Stegostoma tigrinum: one gene and its partners. The protein of the gene in region 1 purifies or fractionates together with the protein of each later gene. This does not show direct contact. Links are inferred from orthologs where the notes say so. Each region holds a gene or a part of one and is shown on either strand. Other genes may lie near its edges.

Evidence for each region.
Region 2: the proteins of smarcd1 (region 1) and zinc finger protein ubi-d4 B-like purify together in Homo sapiens (affinity purification with mass spectrometry; 9 studies listed by BioGRID and IntAct, counting the BioPlex papers as one, with this or other methods). This does not show direct contact. The link is inferred for Stegostoma tigrinum from reciprocal best matches to the Homo sapiens genes SMARCD1 and DPF2.
Region 3: the proteins of smarcd1 (region 1) and B-cell CLL/lymphoma 7 protein family member B-like purify together in Homo sapiens (affinity purification with mass spectrometry; 4 studies listed by BioGRID and IntAct, counting the BioPlex papers as one, with this or other methods). This does not show direct contact. The link is inferred for Stegostoma tigrinum from reciprocal best matches to the Homo sapiens genes SMARCD1 and BCL7B.

Annotation. Positions count from the first base shown.
Region 1 is NC_081404.1:15,151,869-15,159,629, reverse strand, and holds the start of smarcd1 (SWI/SNF-related matrix-associated actin-dependent regulator of chromatin subfamily D member 1), read right to left. Parts: upstream 3,027-7,761; 5' UTR 3,013-3,026; coding exon 2,848-3,012; intron 1-2,847. UniProt on the Homo sapiens protein: Involved in transcriptional activation and repression of select genes by chromatin remodeling (alteration of DNA-nucleosome topology).
Region 2 is NC_081395.1:3,497,552-3,505,152, reverse strand, and holds the start of zinc finger protein ubi-d4 B-like, read left to right. Parts: upstream 1-4,567; coding exon 4,568-4,662; intron 4,663-5,017; coding exon 5,018-5,097; intron 5,098-7,601. UniProt on the Homo sapiens protein: Plays an active role in transcriptional regulation by binding modified histones H3 and H4. Is a negative regulator of myeloid differentiation of hematopoietic progenitor cells. Might also have a role in the development and maturation of lymphoid cells.
Region 3 is NC_081380.1:13,827,303-13,835,199, reverse strand, and holds the start of B-cell CLL/lymphoma 7 protein family member B-like, read left to right. Parts: upstream 1-4,863; 5' UTR 4,864-4,955; coding exon 4,956-5,047; intron 5,048-7,897. Other genes in the region: uncharacterized protein LOC125464656, read right to left, coding at 1-718. UniProt on the Homo sapiens protein: Positive regulator of apoptosis. Plays a role in the Wnt signaling pathway, negatively regulating the expression of Wnt signaling components CTNNB1 and HMGA1.

The DNA of each region.
Region 1 (7,761 bases):
AACTGGGCCTGTTCCTCAAGAATTTCAAAGAATGAGAAACCTACAAAATATTTTAGGGATAAAGAGGAGATGCAAGCAAAATACATCCCTTTGCTGGGGAGTTGAGAAGTGGGAGGGAGGGACGCCATTTAAAAAATAAGGGGAATACCATTTAGGACCAAGATGAGAATTTCTTTTAATCAAAGGGCTGTGAACCTTTAGAACTCTCTCCCCCACCCCCAGAGGGCTGTGGACGCTCAGTCTTTCAGTATGTTTAAGGTATAAATTGATAGATATCTCATTATCAATTGTGCAAAGGGATACAGGTATAGCTAACATGATGCTCAGTAGCAGTGGTGCATCGATGTGCTTCTGAGATTTTATAAAGCTCTAGTTAGGCCCCATTTAGAATACTGTGTCCAAATTTGAGCCCCACACCTCAGGAAGGACAATACTAGCCCTGGAGCGTGTCCAGCAGAGATTCACACGGATGATCCCTGGAATGGGAGGCCTAACATACGATGAACGGCTGAGGATCTGGATTTGTATTCATTACAGTTTGGAAGGTTGAGGGGAGATCTAATAGAAACTTACAAGATAATGTATGGCTTAGAAAGGGTGGACACTGGGCAGTTGTTTCTGTTAGGCAGGGAGACTAGGCACAGCCCTAGAATTAGAGGAGGTCAATTTAGAACAGAAATGAGGAGACATTTCTTCAGCCAGAGAGTGGTGGGCCTGTGGAATTAATTGCCATGGAGTGCAGTGGAGGCTGGGACTTTAAATGTCTTCAAGGCAGAGATTGATAATTCCTTGCGAGATCAAGAATTTAAGGGCTACGGGGAGAGTGCGGATAAGTGGAGTTGAAATGCCCATCAGCCATGATTAAATGGCAGAGTGGACTCAATGGGCCGAATGGCCTTACTTCCACACCTCCTATGTCTTACAGAGCTCAGAACAACTTTCTCGCAAGATGAGCCGCTCATGCTATCAGAGAAAATTTAAACTAATCTGACAGGGGTGTAGAAAGCAAAGGCAGAAACAGACAACATTCGAATAGCCAATAGCAACATACCAGGCAGGGTCAGACTAGGAGTAAGAGAGAAGGAATAAAGTTTAAATTAGGATTATTGTGGACATTTGGGAATGTGCAGACTGGTGAGCAACAAGTGCAAACTGACATATGGGAAGACTAAACTTACAGAAGGACCTGATGCTCAGAATGCTTGAATAAAAGGTGTCCAGGAAAGATACTGCAGTACTGGAGAAAGTGTGCTCCTCAGGGGTGTCAAGTACAAAGTCTGTTTTAGAACTAGGGAACAAGGTCTAATTATATTGCTTGGTGTAGTCTATGGGCCACAAAGTAGTGGGAAAAATGTAGAGGAACAAATTTGCAAGGAAATAACAGAGGCATTAGAATTACACAGAGGAGTTATAATGGGAGAGAACTTTAATAATCCAAATAAAAACTAAGATAACAGTAGCATAAAGGGAAGAGACAAACAAGAGTACAAAGAGTGTGCTCTGGAGAATTTTTCTACAATAGTATGTTGAGTCCAATGCGAAAGATTTAGCTGGGCCTAGATTTTGGGAAGGTGGTGTGTCAAGTGGATCTAGTGCCAGATTAGAGAAATTGGGACTATTCACCTTGGGAACGGCTGAGAAAAGACTTGATCGAAGTGTTCAAAGCCATGAAGGGTCTGAACAAAGTACAGAGAAAGAAACGGTTCCCATTAGTTGAAGGATCAAGAACCCGAAGACACCAATTTAAGACATGAGGCAGTTAGAATCTGGAATGCACTGCCTGCAAGTGTGGTGAAGGCAGGATCAAATGAGACTTTCAAAAAAGACTTGTATTTTTGTCTGAACCAGAAGCATTTGCAGGATAAGGCAGAATGGCAAGAAGCAAACTGCTTCTTCAACAGGCCAGCAGAGTTGAACAACCCCTCCATGCCATAATCATTCTGTGATTACAAGTACAGTAGCAATCTCCCTGGAGTCTTGAACAATATTTATTTCTCAATCAACATCACCAAAACAAATTGTTTATCACAATGCTGTTTGTGGGGGATGGCTGTACACAAATTGATTGCCATGTTTCCTGTGTTATTATTGAGAGTACTCATCAAAAGCACTTTCAGATATTTGGTGGTTGTGAAAGGCCTTATATAAATACAAGTTTTGCTTTTCTGTTAACATTTGCTGGCCAATTTGTGGTGAACTAGGGTTCTCAGTCACTGCCTGAGAGAAACACTATCTACCATACACAATTTACACCTGGTTCTCACAGCCAACAGCTTTCATCACCATCTGCCTGTATTTCAACACAGGACAGAAAATGTTTTAAACTGCTCAGCAGGCCAGGTACATCAGCCACCTTTGAACAAAACCCCTATGATTCTATCAAAGCCACAGGGATCCTGAGAATATCAAGCATTTTTCTCTTTTTAAGTTCAAGTTTCCTACATCAGTAGCATCTTGTTCAGATTTAACCACAACTAGCTTCCAAATTCAAGACTAAGAGTCAAATCTGAACATGACTCAAAATAAAATCTTTTCAACTTACATAACTGTAGAAAAATAATCATAAGACATTACAAACCAGTCTGTTCGGGCCTAAAGAGCAAGGCAAGAATGTGAAGCAGCCTTAGGGGATGCAATCAATTATCCAACTGAAGGAAACAAAGGAAGCTAGGGTCAGGTCAGATGTAGAAAGACCAATCTGGTCATTCAGGAGGCAAGAAAGGAAGCTTGCTGGCTGTGGCCGGTTCGATTTAAGGAATGGGACCTGCCTTGGTCAGGACAAGGGGCCTCGCCTTTCCCCCCACCCCCTTCATCACACATAGTTCCATATCCCGGCCCCTCACTTACCGGGTATCCCTGGCCTGGCATGGCTGAACGGAACATGTTTTGTTGTTGAGCTCCTGTTATCCTGCCCGGGGCCTGCCCCGTCCCTTGTGCTTGGCCAGGCCCCGGACCCGCTGCCATAGCAGCCGCCGCGCCCGGGCTCATTGTCTGGAAGCCTCGCGCCGCCATCTTCGAGAAGGAACTCTTTCGCACCGGAAAGCGATAACACTGCTTCCGGTACGCGGCCCAGCCCGCATGCGTTAATTAATCGCCTGAAACAGCGCCCCCCTCTGGGCGGATGCTGAACTCCAGAGACGGCGACACACTCAGGGCGGAGACTAAACTCCACAAACAGGGCCATCCTCAGGACAAGGGCGAAACTCCAGAAATGGCGTCACACTGAGGGCGAAGTCTTGAACTCCAGAAGCAGCGCCACCCTCAGGGCGGAGACTGCAAAATAACGGAGAAGGCCCCAAGAACAGCGCCAGCTGGTGGGAGAGTTAAATCCACATGGTTTTATTCGGTGTCACGTTGTAACATGTAGTCATTGGGCTAACCAAGGCTTTTCCAGTGAGTTACATGCTGCCTGATCATTGAGAGTTTTTTTTAGAAAGTTCAAAGGGTAAGTGAGGAAGGGAGACAAATAGAAAATAAGTGGAGATTGGCAGTCAATTCAAAAGGGAATGCAAAAGCTTTTTTGGGATATGTAAGTAACAAAATTACATGAAGAGAAGGGATAGATCAGTTAGGGACAAATGCACATCCAAGGTATCAAATGAGTACACTGCATCTGCTTTTAACAATCTTAGCATCCTTACATTTGGCCCATCAAGTCCATACCAACCCACCAAAGAGCATCCCACTGAGATCCACCCTATCCCTGTAACCTTGCATCCCCCTTGGCCATCCCAGCCAGCCTGCACTATGGGCAATTTAGCGTTGCCAATCCACCTAACCTGTATAGTTTTGGACTGTGGGAGGAAACCCATGCAGACATGGGGAGAATGTACAAACTCCACACAGTCACCCAAGGGTGGAATCAAACCCTGGCGCTGTGACACAGTGGTGCTAACCGCTGAGCCACCGTGCCACAAATGAGGAAGCCGCTGTCATACTTAAGATACTGGCTGAGCTCAGGTTTGACGAAGAGAAGAAGTCAGTTTAACCTACATGGTTAAAATGCTTTTAGAAGTGATAATTGGGATTAACATTAATCGTCGCCTGACTCATTTACGAAGGAAAGCTCACATGGATTTGTTAAAGACAAGTCCTGTTCCACTAACCTGATAGAGATTTTTTTAATGAAGTAACACAAATGTTTAATGGGGGTAATACAGCTGATTTGATTTAAATAGGCTTCTGAAAAGCATTTGACAAAGTGCCACATAATGGTCTTGCTGGCAAAAGTGAGGCATGCAAGGGACAGTGGCAACAGGGGTTATGCAGTTAACTGAGTGACAGAGAACAGTTGGGGGTGAAAGGTTGTTTTGTAAAGGAGGAGTAGAGTTTGCCATGTTGAAATGAGGACCATTACTTTCCTTGATCTATATTAATGACCAAAATTTACTTGTCTAGGGCTTATTTCAACAGTTCCAGATGATACAACTATTGTGAACCCTGAGGAGGATGATGATAGAGTGAATGAGGACATTGTGATGTAAGCTGTGTGGTTTATATAGGTTTTATTATAATTTAGTTTAGAACTTGGATTTTGGACTAGTGGCATTTGGGCTTTGATCTGTGTATGAGAGAGAGCTGAATGATTAACTTGCCACTATATCCAGAGCTGTCATTTTTCTTTTCAAAAAAAACGATGAGAGAGGGGTTTTTTTGGAGAAGCAGTGGGAATGTATTTGTATTGGGAAAGCTTACTGAGTAAACAGGCTAAACATTGAGAAGTGCTCGGCTTTCAGTTAAACAAATCAGCTTTTTTTTGCATGAGGAAACACCTATAGCTCATGTCCTGGTGAACCTGAGATGTGTAAAATAGCCTCTTCTAAAGAAGGGCGATATTTAAGAATTGTTAAGAAAATAGGTTACCTCACCATCAGGAGTTTAGCTTGGAAACCCTAGACCAGAAGTGCTTGGTTAGAACCTTGAAGGAGTTATTTGAAGCTGAGAAAGACTAAGGTCAGTTGTATGGACACTCAAGGAATGAATTTTCTGAAGAAGAGTCCCGATCCAAAACATCAACTTTCCTGCTCCTATGATGCTGCCTGTCCTGCTGTGCTCCTCCAGCTCCACACCTTGTTATCTATAGCATTATGTGTTTGTATTTCAATGAAAGACTACCTTGTTGAATTAAAGAAAGACAAGATACGATCTGTCAAGCCAGATTTCTGCCCAGGATCTGGCATTTCCAGTGCTAACATCAGTTGGGATCATAATAACATGGATAGGCTGGTAGAATAGACAGACATGTGGAAAATGTAATGCAAAGAAGCAAACTATATTGATAGGAAGATCAAAGCAAGGCATCATATAAGGTTGGGTACATCTCTAAAGAGGTTGCAGGAGCAGAGTGATGTGGGGTTAAATGTACACAGACTGTGGAATGTGGCAAGGCAGGTTGAGGAAATGCTTCATAGGTGTACAGGACTTTAGGCTTTATATATCGAAGCATTGTGAGTAAAAGCATGTAAGGGTAGCACGGTGGCTCAGTGGTTAGCACTGCAGCCTCACAGCGCCAGGGACCCGGGTTCAATTCCAGCCTCAGGCAACTGTCTGTGTGGAGTTTACACATTCTCCCTGTGTCTGCGTGGGTTTCCTCCGGGTGCTCCGGTTTCCTCCCACAGTCTAAACATGTGCAGGCTAGGTGGATCGGCCATGCTAAATTGCCCCATGGTGTCCAGGAAGCTAAGTGGGTTTGCCATGGGAAATGCAGGGTTATTGAGGGGTGGGGGTGTGATGGGATGGTCTTTGGAGGGTCACCGTGGACTTGATGGCCTGAATGGCCTGCTACTACGCTATAGGGATTCTGTGATGAACCTTTAGAAAACACTGGTTTGACCTTTAGTGGATGATTACGCCCAGTTCTGGGTCCTGCACTACATGAAGCATGTGAGAGGGTGAAGGAAAGATCCATGAGAATGGTCCTGGGGTGAGACACTTTGAGTAGGTTGGAGAAGCTGGGACTATTCCCCTTGGAGAAGAGAAGACTGAGGGGGAATCTGTTCAAAATGAAGAAAGGTCTGGGCAGAGTGGTAGGAAAACTGGTGTAAGGTGATTGGTGAAATATACAAGGGCAGCACACAGTAAAAAACCCTTTTACTGCAGCGAGTGGTTAGAGTCTACAATGCAAGTGGTCGAGAGTGTAATGGAGGCAGGGTTAATCAATGCTTTCAGGAAGGGAATGAGATAAGAATCTGCAAAGGAATCCTATTCAGGGGTACAAGGGGGAGTGGGACTGACTGAGTTCCTCCTTTGGAGAGCCACTATAGACTCAAGAGGCTGAATGACCTCCTGTAAGCTGCTACGGTTCTGTGGATCTGCCATATCTGTGTTGCATAGGGGAAGGTGGATGGTACAAATTCGAGGACGTAAATTGCATTTGGACAAGACCGTGGTTATGCTGCAGGACTACATGACAGCAAAGGGTAATGGTAGGCTGCCATTCAAGAAGAAAGGCTAGAAAAATAGAAGCTTTCTACCCTGTCATAAAGCAAGATGTGATGGAGCCTCACACCACGACAAATCTGTTACCCATCTGGCGAGGCTTAATTCGGTCGCCCCGAGTAGGGGAACAATTTGAATCGATTCATGTTGGGGTAAGAGGGAGAGAGAGATAGGAACTATCTTCACGAGGCTTTGCAGAAATTCACCAAAGATTCTCAGACAACACCTCCTAAACCCATGACCACTTCCATCTAGAAGGACAAGGGCAGCAGACACATGGGAACACCACTGCCCTGCGAGTTCCCCTCCGAGACCTTGTGGAGAAAGAAACGAGAGTTAACGTTACAAGTTCAACGTGACTGCTTTTCGGACTGTGACAAGCCTCATTAAACTCGTCCTTACAGTTTATCTTTACAGTGTACATTCACAATTCATGTTCTGCAGACTTGAAACGCTCACTCGTTTCTCTCCCCACAGACGCTGCCCGACTCGCTGAGTTTCTCCAGCATTCTCTGTGTTTGCTTTGGATTTCTGGCAACCACAGGGTTTTACTTTTAGTTTATAATTCTGTTCTGGGTACCTACCTTCATTACTTCAGACCATTGAGTATAGGAGTTGGGACATTGTGTTGTGGCTGTACAGGGCCATTGCTGAGGCCACTTTTGGAATACTGTGTATAATTCTGGTTGCCTTATTATAGGAAGAATGTTATTAAGTTGGAAAGCATGCAAAAAAATGATTGACAAGAATGTTACCATGACTGGAAGGTTTGGGAAACCTGGATGCGTTGGGCCGAAGGGCCTATATGACTGTGAGGGTGACGCACCACAGTGCAGTACTGAGGGAGTGCTGCTGTTCGCATGAGCCTTTAATCCTGTCACCTCTCTCAGGCAAAGGGGAAAAAATTTGGCATGATACTTGAAGAACAAGGAGTTGTGGTGGAGGCAGGTTCAATGGAAGCTTTCCAAAGGGAATGAGATTGTCATCACAGAAGTGGAAAAACGATGGGCTGAATGGCATCTTTCTGCGCCAGAACAATTCTGGCAGTGTGTGCTTTCCGGCAATCCAAAAGAGGCTATACTTCAAAAACCCTGCTGTAGAGTGCTCGGAAGGTGGGGAAGACACGAGAGAAATGTGCATTTTTTTTAACTGAAAGGAGACGGTAAAGTTCCAAAAGCAGCGACTGGTTCACGCTGCGAGAACTGGGATAGACTTGATGGGCTGAATGTCCTCCTTTGTGATATAATGACTCTATCATTACCACTGCGAGTGTCCTATTTTGAGGATTTTCAATGTTTGTTTCAGATTGCCAGTGTTTGTAGC
Region 2 (7,601 bases), on another chromosome or scaffold:
GGAACTGAAGAAATCCCCTGGTTATACTGGTCAGCCAGGGCTCTCCTGATTGGCCCAGGGTTAACATGCCCAATCAAGGATCTTGTAGCCAACAAGATCCAGCTGGTTCCTATCGCTACAGTACCCAAGGTTTAGCAGACTGATTCCTGAGATGGCAGGGCTGGCATATGAGGAGACACTGAATTGGTTAAAATTAGAGTCGCTGCAAAACTGGGGCCTCTCATAGATAGCTGTAAAATTCAAACAGGACTAGACAGGGTAGATGCAGGAAGGATACTCCCAGTGATGGGGAAGCCCAGAACCAGGGGTCACAGTGTAAGGATGTGGCAAAATCCAATCCCAAGAGCCTGCATCTGGCCCACATCTCTCGCAATCTTCCCGACTCATGTACCCGTCCAGATGCCCTTTAAATGCTGTAACTGTACCAGCCCCCACCACTTCCCCTGGCAGCTCATTCCATACCAACCATCCTCTGTGTGAAAAAGTTACCCCTCAGGTCCCTTTTACATCCTCCCCCTCTCACCTTAAACCTATATCCCTCTAGACTCCCCCCCACCCTGGGGGGAAAAGACCTTGTCTATTCACCCTGTCCATGCCCCTCATGATTTTATAAACCTCTATAAGGTCACCCCTTCAGCCTCTGAAGCTCCAGGGATTATCGCTGCAGCCTATTCAGCCCCTCCCTGTCGCTCAGACCCTCCAACCCTGGCAACATCCTTGTAAATCTTTTCTGAGCCCTTTCTATTTTAACGACATCCTTCCCACAGCAGGGAGACCTGGATTGAACACAGTTTTCCAAAAGTGGCCCTAACCAATGTCCAGTACAGCCACAACGTGGCCGTCCCAACTCCCTCTACTCAATGCACTGACCAATAAAGACAAGTACCAAATGCCTCCTTCATTATCCTATCCACCTGTGACTCCACTTTCAGGGAGCTATGAACCTGCTCCCCAAGGTCTCTCTGTTCAGCAACACCCCCCAGGGCCTTCCCATTAAGCCCTGCCCTGATGTGACTTTCCAAAATGCAGCATCTCACATTTATCTGAATTCAACTCCATCTGCCTCTCCTCGGCCCATCGGCCCATCTGATTAAGGCCCTATTGTACCCTGATGGAACCTTCTTCACTGTACACTGTATCTCCAATTTTAGACTCACCTGTAAACTTACCATATCAAAAGCCAGTCCCAAGAGCCTGCATTTGGCCCACATCTCTCTCGATCTTTCCAACTCATGTCCCCGTCCAGATGCCCTTTAAATGCTGTAACTGTACCAGCCCCCACCACTTCCTCACGACACCAGGTGAAAGTCTAACAGATGAAGGAGCTGTGCACCGAAAGCTTGTGATTTCAAATAAACCTGTTGGACTATAACCTGGTGTCTTGGGACTTCTGACCTCTGTCCACCGCAGTCCTACACGGGCACCTCCACATCTTGGCAGACCAGCCATACCCCTTATGTTCTCATCCAAATCATTGAAGCAAATGACCATCAGCAGTGGGGCTTTTAGTGACTTGGAGAGAGCAAGGCCTGCAGGTGCTGGAGTCAGAGATAACACAGTGTGGAGCTGGAGGAACACAGCAAGCCAGGCAGCATCACAGGAGCAGGAAAGCAGATGTTCCGGGCCTGGACCCTTCATCAGGACTGGGGAGGGGTTAGGGAGCTCAGAAATAAACAGAGGGAGGTGGGTGGGCCTGGGGGAAGGTAGGTGGGACGGTGATAGGTGGATGTAGATAGATGGTGGCGGGGAATGGTGAGTGGGATGGGTGGGGATGGATGGGTGGGAGAGAAGATGGACAGGTTGTGTCAGGTCAAGGAAATGAGAGGGAGGGTTGGTCATGAGATGAGGCTGGGGGTGTGGGAAGATTTTAAAACTGCACTCGACGTTAAGGCCATCAGGCTGTAGGCTCCCGAGGTGGAATATGAGGTTCTGCTCCTCCAGTTTGTGGGTGGCATCATTGTGACACTGGAGGAGGCCCAGGATGGATATGTCACCCAGGGAATGGCGGGGGGGGGGGGGCAGTTAAAATGGTTTGCAACTGGAAGGAGTCATCGTTTGTCGTGTATGGAGTGCAGATGATCTACAAAACGGCCCCTAAGTCTGCACTTGGTCTCACTGATTTAGAGGAGGCCACGTAGGGAGCAGGAGATACAGGAGCCAAGTTGACAGATGTGCAGGTGAACCCCCATCTAATAGACAATAGACAATAGGTGCAGGTGTAGGCCATTCGGCCCTTTGAGCCAGCACCACCATTCATTATCCTGTCACAATCAGTATCCTGTTCCTGCGTTATCCCCAAAACCCCTGACTCCACTATCTTTAAGAGCTCTATCCATCCCTCCATGACATGGAAGGTTTGTTTTGGGCCTGGGACGGGGGGTGAGGGGGGAGGTGCAGGGGTATAGCGCTTCCTGTGGGTACAGGGAAGGGTGGTGGGGTTAGTGGGGAGTGTGGAGCAGATGAGGGAGTTGCGGAGAAGGCGGTCCCTATGGAAGGCAGATAGTGTGGGGCGGGAAAATATATTTGGCTGTGGGCTCGGATTGTAGCTGGTGCAAATGGCGGAGAATGATACTTTGGATGTGGAGGTTGGTGGGGTGATATGTGAGGGACAATGGGGCTTCTGTCTTTATTTGTGTTGGGGGGGAGGGGGTGTGAGGACAGAAGTGTGGGAAACACAAGAGATGAGGTTGAGGGCATTTTCAATCACTGGGTGGGGGGAAGTTATGGTCTTTGAAATAGGGGTCCATGTGCGGGAGTGGAATGCCTCATCGTGGGAGCAGATGCGGCGGAGGCGGAGGAATTGGGAATAGGGGATGGAATTTTTGCAGGAGGGTGGGTGGGAGGAGGTGTATTCTAGGTAGCTGTGGGAGTCGGTGGGCTTGAAATGGACATCGGTTACAAGCTGGTTGCCTGAGATGGAGACTGAGAGGTCCAGGAAGGTGAGGGATGTGCTGGAGATTGCCCAGGTGAACTGAAGGTTGGGGTGGAAGGTGTTGGTGAAGTGGATGAACTGTTTGAGCTCCTCTGGGGAGCAAGAGGCGGCGCCGATACAGTCATCAATGTAACGGAGGAAGAGGTGGGGTTTGGGGCCAGTGTAGCAGAAGAGGGATTGTTCCACGTAACCTACAAAGAGGCAGGCATAGCTGGGGCCCATGCGGGTGCCCATGGCCACCCCCTTAGTCTGTAGGAAGTGGGAGGAATCGAAAGAGAAGTTGTTGAGGGTGAGGACGAGTTTGGCTAGGCAGATGAGGGTGTCAGTGGAGGGGGACTGGTCGGGCCTGCAGGACAGGAAGAAGCAGAGGGCCATCTGCATGAGGAATACAGGTGTATAGGGACTGGACGTCCATGGTGAAGATGAGGTGTTAGAGGCTGTGGAATTTACAGAGGTCCACTCTAAGTTTGTAAGAAGGAGCACAGACCTGAAGTTTTTTTTTAAAGCAGGTGGCAGCGCTTTAGAAATACTACAAATCACAGAATCTAGTTATGTTTGATTTATTGAACAAATGTGGGTCAAAACTCATTACCATGTGCCTGCACCAAAGCAGGGATTAAATAGCCAGCTCGACCTCAGTAACACTAGTACGTTGCGCATTTTAGGAAACAGGTTTGCAGTAATTGTCCTGCAAGAGATTGAACTCTCATGGCATGAACGTGTTCCTTTAACTTCCATTAAACCAAAATTGTCGATCCCTTTCATTCTTCCACAGAGAGACAGGGTACTTCGCAGTACCAAAGCTTAATTTATGAAGGTCCACACCAGGCAAACAAACAAGCAGGAGCTGCCTCCAACCTTTAGATTTGTCAGATACGTAGAAAATCAGAGAAGAGTACAGGAGGACATTCAGCCCGTTGAGTCTGCAGGGTCGGATTGTGCTGATTGTTGAGTCAATGTGATGGGGATTTGTCAGGATACCAAGTCTCAGCACTGAGTGACCATTTCACACTCACTGGCTCCCCTCAGCCAGTCCACCCTGTCGCTGCTCCTTCCTTCCTCTGAGGCTGAGTGGGAGCAGTCCCCCTCTGCTTCCCTGTCTAAGGTGAAAAGATTCAGTCTCCGAGTCCTACAGCACAGAAACAGACCCTTTGGTCCGACCCATCCACCGAGCTTGTTTTCCAAACTGACTCAGTCCCAGCTGCCTGCGTTTCGCCCATATCGCTCTCTAACCCTTTCCTGTTCATGTACCTGTCCAGATGTCTTTTTCAAATGCTGTAAGAGTCCCCCACACCCACCACTTCCCGTGGCAGTTCATTCCACACACAAACCAGCCTCTGTGTAAAAAAATTACCCCTCAAGCCCTTTTCAAAACGGTCTCCTCTCACCTTAAAAATACAACCCCTAGTTTTGAACTCGCCCACTTTAGAGAAAAGGCCTTGACTATTCACGTTCTTTATGACCCTCATGATATTTATAAACCTCTACAAGGTCGCCTCTCAACTTCCTACACTCCAGTGACAGAATTCCCAGCCTTTCAAGCCTCTCCTTATGACTCAAACCCTCCGATTCCCAGTGACGTCCCGGTACATCTCTCCCGAGCTCTCTACAGCTCAATAATATCCTTCCGAAAACATGGAGACACCAGAAATGCACATGGTGCTGCAGAATAGAGCGCCCCCAATGTCCTGCACAAACTCAACACAACGCCCCAACTCTGGCACTCAGCGGTGACCCACTCTCTGTCGGTGGGGCAGGCCAGAGGGATGGGGGGAAGCTGCTGGGGTGGGAGGAGGGTAACTCAGACCAGAGCCTCCCTGTGCAAAAGCACTCAAATAGCTGATTAAACTGAGCATCTAGAATCCTTTGTCCCAGGCATCACACTGAAGGGGCAGGGGATTATGCCAGCCCTGCTTTAACACTCAGTAATTCAATAATAAGCAAACTATCACGACTCAGCTCACAGGACTGACCCTCAAATCAAATATGAGTCAGCTGGAACAAAAACAGAAGTTGCCGGAAAAGCTCAGCGGGTCTGGCAGCGTTTGTGAAGGAAAAAAATCAGAGTAAACATTTCGGTTCCAGGGACCCTTCCTCAGAACTCAAACCCGAGACCAAAGGCTTAGTCACCAATGGAGCAGTGAGAGAAATTCAGGGGGGTTCAGGTGCCAAAGATAGGGAGGGGGTGTAGGGGCCAGAGGGGTTGCCAGAGATAGGGAGGGGGTGTAGGGGGTGACAGAGATAGGGAGGGGGTGTGGGGGCTGGAGAGGGTGACAGAGATAGGGAGGGGTGTGGGGGCTGGAGTGGGTGACAGAGATAGGGTGGGGATGTTTGGGCTGGAGGGGGTAACAGAGATAGGAGGGGGTGTGGGGGGGTGACAGAGATTGGCAGGGGGAGTAGCGGCTGGAGTGGGTGACAGAGATACGGTGGGGGTGTTTGGGCTGGAGGGGGTGACAGAGATAAGGAGGGGGTCGAGGGGTTGGAGAGGGTTACAGAGATAGGGAGGGGGTGTAGGGGCTGGAGGGGTTGACAGAAATAGAGGGGGGTGTAGGGGCTGGAGGGGGTGACAGAGACAAGGAGGGGGTGTTGGGAATTGAGGGTGTGACAGAGATAGGGAGGGGGTGTAGGGGCTGGAGGGGGTGACAGAGATAGGGAGGGGGTGTAGAAGCTGGAGGGGGTGAAGAGATAGGGAGGGGGTGTAGGGGATGGAGGGGGTGACAAAGATAGGGAGGGGGTGTGGGGGCGGGAGTGGGTGACAGAGATCGAGAGTCGGTGTAGGGGCTGGAGGGGGTGACAGAGAGGAAGGGGGTGTCAGGGCTGGAGGGAGTGACAGAGATAGTGGAGCGGGGGAATGGGGGATAGTGGAGAGGGGTGATTGGGGTTAGTGGAGAGGGGGGATTGGGGTTAGTGGAGAGGGGGGATTGGGGTTAGTGGAGTGGGGATGGGGGTTAGTGGAGAGGGGGGATTGGGGTTAGTGGAGAGGGGGTATTGGGGTTAGTGGAGAGGGGGGATGGGGGTTAGTGGAGAGGGGGTATTGGGGTGAGTGGAGAGGGGGGATGGGGGTTAGTAGAGAGGGGGGATTGGGGTTAGTGGAGAGGGGGGATTGGGGTTAGTGGAGAGGGGGGATTGGGGTTAGTGGAGAGTGGGGATGGGGGTTAGTGGAGTGGGGATGGGGGTTAGTGGAGAGGGGGTATTGTGGTTAGTGGAGAGGGGGAATTGGGGTTAGTGGAGAGGGGGTATTGTGGTTAGTGGAGAGGGGGGATTGGGGTTAGTGGAGAGGGGGGATGGGGGTTAGTGGAGAGGGGGTATTGGGGTTAGTGGAGAGGGGGTATTGGGGTTAGTGGAGAGGGGGAATTGGGGTTAGTGGAGAGGGGGTATTGGGGTTAGTGGAGAGGGGGGATGGGGGTTAGGGGAGAGGGGGAATTGGGGTGAGTGGAGAGGGGGAATTGGGGTGAGTGGAGAGGGGGAATTGTGGTTAGTGGAGAGGGGGGATGGGGGTTAGGGGAGAGGGGGAATTGGGGTGAGTGGAGAGGGGGAATTGGGGTTAGTGGAGAGGGGGAATTGTGGTTAGTGGAGAGGGGGTATTGGGGTTAGTGGAGGGGGGGATGGGGGTTAGTGGAGAGGGGGGATGGGGTTAGTGGGGAGGGGGATGTGGGCTTAGTGGGGAGGGGTTATTGGGGTTAGTGGAGAGGGGGGATTGTGGTTAGTGTAGAGGGGGGATTGTGGTTAGTGTAGAGGGGGGATTGTGGTTAGTGGAGGGGAGGGATTGGGGTTAGTGGAGAGGGGTATGGGGCTTCGTGGAGAGGGGGTATTGGGGTTAGTGGAGAGGGGGGATTGGGGTTAGTGGAGAGGGGGGTATTGGGGTTAGTGGAGATGGGGGATTGGGGTTAGTGGAGATGGGGGATTGGGGTTAATGGAGAGTGGGGATGGTGGTTAGTGGAGAGGGGGGATTGGGGTTAGTGGAGGGGTGGGATTGGGGTTTGTGGAGAGTGGGTATGGGTGTTAGTGGAGAGGGGGTATTGGGGTTAGTGGAGAGGGCGGATGGGGGTTAGTGGAGAGGGGATGGGGGTTAGTGGAGAGGGGGGATTTGGGTTAGTGGAGAGGGGGTTGGGGGTTAGTCTAGAGGGGGGATTGGGGTTAGTGGAGAGGGGGGATTGGGGTTAGTGGAGAGGGGGTATTGGGGTTAGTGGAGAGGGGGTATTGGGGTTAGTGGAGAGGGGGATGGGGGTTAGTGGAGAGGGGGGATTGGGGTTAGTGGAGGGGTGGGATTGGGGTTTCTGGAGAGTGGGTATGGGTGTTAGTGGAGAGGGGGTATTGGGGTTAGTGAAGAGGGCGGATGGGGGTTAGTGGAGAGGGGATGGGGTTTAGTGGAGAGGGGGGATTTGGGTTAGTGGAGAGGGGGTTGGGGGTTAGTGGAGAGGGGGGATTGGGGTTAGTGGAGAGGGGGGATTGGGGTTAGTGGAGAGGGGGGATTGGGGTTAGTGGAGAAGGGGATGGGGGTTAGTGGAGAGGGGGGATTGGGGTTAGTGTAGAGGGGGGATTGGGGGTTAGTGGAGAGTGGGGATGGGGGTTAGTGGAGAGGGGGTTGGGGTTTAGTGGAGAGGGGGGATTGGGGTTAGTGGAGTGGGGATGGGGGTTAGTGGAGAGGGGGGATTGGGGTTAGTGGAGA
Region 3 (7,897 bases), on another chromosome or scaffold:
AGTATAGAGTGTTGCTTCTTCGAGGAAGTGGAGCAGAATTATTTCTTCCAGAGAACCTGTTGCCATCTTTAAAGCAGCCATAGGACCTCCACTGGGGATGTACATTGGTGACAGAATGCCAGCATCCGTTACTATCCAGGGGTGATGCCCAGCCATTTGTGACGAATGACCGTTTAAAAGTCCGAAAGCACCAAAGGCCCTGGAGATATTTGTCATTCCTCGACTGAGGAGGCAAGGGCCGGCAGGAGAAACTGCTGCCATGGCTAGTAAACCCGTTAACATACATCATGTACATATCAGTATCACTGAGCTGCCTGTTCTGGGCGGAAAGGTCCCTTTCCAATGGGAATGTCACACTCCCAGCCGCTGATGGGGATCGTTCGGCGGGAGGGTCACTGCCAGCTATGCGTTGTGTGCGGTATAACTTTAGAACAGTGAGAACTTTTGAGAGCCGGGTCCCCTGCACTACTGCCCCCCGCCTGGTAGGGTTCCTGACGGGAGTGGGCTCCAGAATCCCAGCCGCGGCTCGGCTCTGGGTGCTCGGCCTCCGCGCCACAGAGGGAAATGGTGGCGACCACCATTCACCGGCTCCCTGCCCAAAGCCTGCCGCTTCTGATCTAGGTCCATTGCCCGGACTCCAGCCGCTAATAATCAACCTCCGGACACAGTTCCGGGGCTGGGGGACCCTTACACAACGATCAGCAGAATACAACGCCATCTTAACTGCCCGCCTTAAAGGCGGGGCCCAGGCCTTGACGAACAGGCACAACTAATCACAAGGCTCTATCCTCTGAATGACATTACACCTAGCCACTCAAAACGTGCCGACCTCAGCCAATGACAGTGGCCGTTCCCAATAGGTCCCGCCCACAGGATCTTGATTGACGGCTCAATCTGACGTTCCGAGGAATCACAGGCTGGCACTTCAATTATCGTGGAAAGAGACCGACATCCAAGTCTGATTCCGCTATAAGTTTTAAACGATATTAAGGGAAACTTTATTCGTTATCGTCCATTAGTTGGGAAGGAAACACACGTGCATGCATCGTGTTCCCAAAGGTGAATTGATTTGAACAATAAACATCAAATTTACAAGCTGCAGAAAGTGTTGGGGGCCACTCAGCAGATCTGCACAGATAATTATCAACATTGCAAGGTGGATTGACTTGGGTTAGAAATATTTACAAACTTGGTTTACCGGAAGATAATTTTTTAACAGAAAAATGCAGTTTTGATAAAAAGTCATAGATCTGTAACATCAGTGGTAGAGGAACTTTGGAAAAAGTCTAATGGACTAAATTATTCTCCACTTGGAGAGGCAAGGATTAATAATGGATAACGAGCATGCCTTTGTCAGGGGGGAGATCATGTCTGACAGGTTTGATTGAATTTTTCAAGGAGATGACTTCAAGTATAGATGACAGTAGTAAGACTTTTGTCAAGTAAAACAAAGAATTGCAGATGCTGGAAATTTGAAATATAAACAGAAATTGCTGGAGAACTGAAACAAAAACAGAAATTGCTGGATAAGTTTCTGTAGCAATTTCTGTTTTTAGCTTTTGAAGAGGTCAGGTGGATTGACCATGCTCAATTGTCCATATTATCCAGGCATGTGCATTAGCTGTAGGAAATGTGGAGTTAAGGAGACAGGGTTGGGCCTGGGTCTGGTGGGATGCTCTTTGGGGGAATCAGTGAGACTTGATGGGCCTCTTTCTGCTATGTAGTGATGCTATTACTTTAGGTCTTATATGGCAAGCTGTTTAAGAAGCTAAAAACCCATCAAATCTAGGGCAACTTTGGTATCCTCGATCCAACATTGGCTTCATGGCATGATGCAGAAGTCAAAGGTTGTTTCTGTGACTGGAAGCATGTGTCCAGTGGTGCATTAAAGGGTTCGTTGTTGAATTCCATGCTATAATGTACATTAATGATCTAGATATGAATATAGGTGGCATGATCTGATAGACATGAATACACGAGTAAGGAGGTTATGATGGAGGTTCATACAATGTTATTTGTGCCAAAGCTGAAGTTCTATGTGCAGTTCTGGTCAGCATATTATAGTAAGGATGAGGCTGCATCATAGAATTCCTACTGTGTAGAAGCATGCCATTTGGCCCATCAAGAAAATCACCAACCCTTGGTGCAGGATATTCACCCGGTTGTTGAGTGGGTTCAGCAATTCAGGTATGAAGCAAGAATGGGCAGGTTAGGAAGTGTTTTCCTTACAGCAGGGAAGCTGAGGAGGGACCTGATTGAACTGTACAAAGTAATGAGGGGCATTTAGAGGGCAGATATGAAGAATCTTTTCCCCTTAGTTGTTCAGTCAGTAACCAGGTGGCACACTTTAAGGTATGGAGCAGAAGGTCTAGAGGTGATAAGAGAAAAATAAATTCACCCAAAGGCTGATGAGTATCTGGAATTCATTACCTGAAAGGATGGTACACGCAAGAACCATACAGACATTTGAGAATTATTTGGCTGAGCACTTGAAATTGCCATAGCATAACAGCAGGCCAAGTACTGGAAAATGGTATTACAATAGATAGATGTTTGATGACCACACAGCAATGATAAGCCAAAAGACCTTTTTCCAAAGTGTAAAAACTCAATAAGTAAACATGAATTCTGTTCCTCTCTACCGATCCTATCTGACTTGTTGAGTTATTTCCGTCACTTGAGGTTGCAGACTTGCTTGCTGAGCTCGTGTGTTTGATTGCAGATGTTTTGTCACCATGCTAGGGAGCACTGTCAGTGCACCTCTGGTGAAATGTTGGTGTTCCGTCCCGCTTGTTATTTATATGCGTCGGTTTGCTGGGGTGGTTGGTATCACTTCCGGTTTTATTCTTCAGCAGTTTGTATATCGGGCCCAGTTCAATGTGCTTGTTGACGGAGTTCTGGTTGGAATGCCAGACCTCTAGGAATTCCTTGGCATGTCACTGTTTGGAGAACTACAATGGAAACTGAAATACTTAGTTGACAACACTAACCACTCCATCCACTCCTCTTAAGAATTCCTCAACATCACCTAGGACACCAGAATAGAAGAGGATGAGATAATGGTATCCTTCAAAGTAACAGCACAATTTACATCCATAAACTTCGGCCTAGCGAAAGAGACAATTGCCACACTGCTGGACAAATCAGGAAGGCAAACACCCCATGACACTGACAGTACACTGAAATTACTGGAACTGTGCCTCACAACACAATTCACCTTCAACAGCCATATACTGAAACAAATCAATGGAACACCAAAGGGATCTCCAATATCAGGAATGACAGCAGAAGCGTTAATGCAAAAGTTAGAATGGACAGCGCTCACCACTATCCTAAACTCTGAGTCTACACTGTAGATGACACCTTCATGATTATCAAATGCACAAGACTAGAAGAAACCCACCTACACAAACAACATTCTCACCAGAATAAAATTCACAAAAGAAGAAGAGAACAATAACTGACTATCCTTTCTGGATGTCATGGTAGAACATAAGAATAACAGGGAACTCCAGACTAGTATACACAGAAAAACAAGACATATGGACCAGATACTTAATTACACCAGAAACCATCCCAACACCCATAAACGGAGCTGCATCAGAACATTATTCAAACGAGCTACAACACAATGCAGCAACCCGAACTGCACAAAGCATAACATGAGTACTTCAGCAGACTTTTTAAAAGGAATGGATGCCCAAGAAGCACAATCTGCCTCTGCAACAGACCGCAGCAAGAAGACACAATACAGCCAGACATACTAGTCACCCTACCGTACATCAGGGATATATCAGAGATGACCACGAGACTACTCAGAACCCTAGGTATCAGGGTAGCCCACAAACTAACAATCATCCTGTGACAGCTACTGACGAATGTAAAGGACCCCACCCCACAACCAATAAAACTGATGTAATATACATAATACCATGCAAGGACTGTGAGAAACATTACATAGGCCAAACTGGAAGAAAACTGACAATAAGGCTACATGAACACCAACTGGCTACCAAAAGACACAACCAATTCTCACCGGTCTCAATACACACGGACAAAGAATGACACAAATTTGACTGGACCAACACATCCATAACAGCACAAGTCGAAGACAGACATGTCAGGAAATGCCTGGAGGCCTGGCATTCCAAACAGAACTCCGTCAACAAACACATTGAACTGGACCCAATATACATACAAGTGAAGAACAAACCGGAAGTGATACCAACCACCCCAGCAAACCGAGGTACCTAACTAGCAAGTGGGACTTAATACCAACGTTTCACCAGAGGCATACTGATGATGTTACCTAGCAGAGTGACGAAACGTCTGCAATCAAACACACTGGTTCAGCGGGCAAGTCTACAATCTCATCCACAACCTGAGCTACAAATCTTCGCAAAAACTTTAAACTTCCATCACTTGCATCTGCAGCATTTTGCTTGTATCTGTACTGAACTTTTCTGAAAACTGAAAGAACTGCGGATGCTGTAATTCGGGAATTAAAACTGACATTGCGTGCAAAGCTCCGTGGGTCCGGCAGCAGTCAATGACCAGAAACGTTAACTCTGATTTTTTCTTCACAGAAGCTGCCAGACCTGCTGAGCTTTTCCAGCAACTTCTGTTTTTGTTCTCAATTTTTCTGATTTGGTTTCCATTTCGTTTTTTTCTCTCTCTGTGAAAGTTCCTTAAGACATGTTATGTTAAAAATACCGCATTAATGAAATAAAAGCATTCTTCATCTTTTGCCAAAAACAAATGGGACGACGGAAGGGGCTCGAAGATAACCTGGACATCACCTTGCAAGAAGGTCCTGATGACGTCGACCATGCACGTGCCAGGGCTACGTCAGGCCGACGCACAGCGCAGGCGCAGAGTCCGGCTTGCGGATCGGGGCCGTGCTTGTCAGGATAGGAGATAAAGTTTTATTATCCAACAAAATCGCGGATGAAAAGATGTCGGGCCGGTCGGTGAGAGCAGAGACACGCAGCCGAGCCAAAGATGACATCAAAAAGGTTATGGCAGCTATCGAGAAGGTCCGAAAATGGTGAGCCGCTCTCCGGTAAATACTTTTATTGAAGGGGGAAAGACGACGCACGGGCGGGAGCAACGGCATCCGGCGGCGGAAGTGATGTGAGGGAGATTTGATTGACGGTATGTTCAGCCATTCAAGGACGATGGCGACCCCCGGTTCCTGTGGTAACCGCGTCTCGGGACTGACGGGGAGCTAAGGAGGCGAGACTTCTGGTTGTATTGCAGGACATGGGTGGGCAGGGCCAGTTTGATTCATTTGCTGAAAGTCTCAGAGTGAAGTCAAATCAGTAGTAAAGTAGGCCACGTTCTGGAGCATTATTCTTTTCTGGAGGAAGAGTAGGCTGGCTTCTGTTCGCCCACCAGACTTTTTTTATTAAACATAGCCCTAAGTGTCTAGTCGTAAATGGCCCGTAGTCTTGTTTAAAACTGAGGCCATCAGATAGTGAACGGAAGGTCTGTGTATCATTTCTCTGAGATGTTGGTAGAGCACTGTTCAAGGCATGCAGTTAAATTCCAGAAGTTCTTGTTATTGTTACACTACGGCAGGAGAGACATCACTGATACAGTGGCTGCAGTCTCTAAATCACCTTCAAGGACAAGTGCTGTAGAAGCCTGTAAACATCACCACTTGCAAGTTAATAAAGTATGAAGCTGGATGAACACACCAGGCCAAGCAGCATCTCAGGAGCACAAAATCTGACGTTTCGGGTCTAGACCCTTCGTCAGAGCTGATGATGAAGGGTCTAGGCCCGAAACATCAGCTTTTGTGCTCCTGAGATGCTGCTTGGCCTGTTGTGTTCATCCACCTTCACCCTTTATTATCTTGGATTCTCCAGCATCTGCAGTTCCCATTATTTCCGATACCACTTGCAAGTTCCCTTCCATGTCACACACCATTTTGACTTGGAACTTTATTAACTTTCGTTGTGCATGGGTTAATATGCCGGAACTCCTTATCTGCTCTGTGGGGGTCCTTACATCCTAACAACGCCAGCAGTTAAAAAAGATAACTCACCACCACTTTCTCTAGGGCAATAAATGCTAGTCAGTGATGTCCATATCTCAAACAAAAAAGGTTTTAATCTATGGTCTTGTAAATTTTTCCGTTCCTTCTCCAAACAAATTAAATAAGGACATTTAAATTAAATAATTAATAAATAACGATGTTTCTTATTGTTGCAATGTATTTTCACTTCTTCTGTATTAGGAATCCAGGCTGCCTGTGTTGCAACATACAAGTGTCTTCCACTTCTTTCGCTGCCTGTAGGTATCTATCTGCGCCTACAATGGCTCCCATTCTTGCTGTTGCAATCAAGCCTTTTACCTTAAAGTGCGCCAAAATTTTTATCCATTCATGGGAAGCAGCAAGACAAAGCAACATTTATTGCTGATCCCTAATTACCAATAGGGCAGTTAAGAGTCAACTACATTGCTGTGGGTCTGGAGTCATATGGAGGCCAGACCAGGTAAGATGGTAGTTTCCTTCCCTAAAGGATGTTAGTGAACCAGATAGATTTTCCTGACAACCAACAATGGATTCATGGTCAGCATTAGATCCTTACTTCCAGATATTTATTTAATTCAAATTTCATTATCTGCCGTGGACATACTTGCCTCTGTTCTGTAAAGATTGTAATTTGGAGAAAATAAAATCGAGTAAGAGTGCAGCAGTTGGTTAAGAAACTAATAAGGGATGTCTTTTTCTGTAATAAATTGACATACATAACCAATTGTACCAGGTATATATAAAAGAAAAATACTGCAGGTGCTGGAAATCTGACATAAAAAACAGAGGTGCTGAAGAAGCTCAGCAGGTCTGGCAACGTATTTGGAGCAAGAAAATTTCTGAGATCAGTATAGCTTCTTCAGAATGGAAAGGTGCTGGAGAGTCATAGTTTTTAATGCTATTGATATAGAGGGGAGGAGGAGCCATTGGAACAGATGGTGAATGTGCTCCAAAGCAAAAGATCACGGCAGTGAGAAGGAGTACTAAATATGCAAAGTAGGTATAAATGATGGCCGTAAAAAGGAAAAAAATGAGTCCACTTTGGTGAGAGTTGTATTTATTAGTTCCGGGAATTGGTTGGCACTGCCGCCTCACAGTGCCAGAAATGTGGGTTTGATTCTAACCTTGGGCAACTGTCTGTGTGGAGTTAGCACATTCTTCCCTCGTCTGCACCAGTTTCCACTGGGTGCTGTACCTTCCTTCCCCAGTCCAAAGATGTGCAATGGCCATGCTAGAACTGCCCAGTAGTTATTGGGATGTGCAGCCTAGGTGGATTAAGTTTATTTCTGGAATAGTTAAACTCAATGTTGAGTCCTGAAGCCATTAGCTCCTTAGGCAGAGGATGGGGTTTGTTTCTCCAGCTTGTGTTGAGCCTCATTATCACACTGCAGCAGGCCTGTCACAGAGATGTTGACCAAGGATCATGATGCTGTTTGAAGTGGAAGGCCACTGGAGGCTCAAGGTCACTTTAATAGTCGGAGCAAAGTTGTTGCCCAGTCTGCATTTTGTCTCCCCAATGTAGAATTGACCAGATTGTGAACAGCGAATGCAGAAACCTCATTGAATGAAGTGAAGGTAAATCGATTTCACCTGGAATGTGTGTCTGGGGTCTTGAAGTGAGGAGGGAAGAAATAAACGGGCAAGTATTGTCCCTTCTGTCATTGTATGGGAAGGTGTGATGGGGGATGTGGGCGTGTTGGGCAAGGACCAGGGGAATGGCCCCTCCTGACTGATGACAAGGGAAGGGAGTGAATATTTGTGTGGTGGAGGCATTCTGCCGTAGGTGGGAACAGTGGATTACGATCTTTGTATGTCCAGCCTGACGAGGTGTAAAGAGAAAGGTGTGCTCTATCTTTT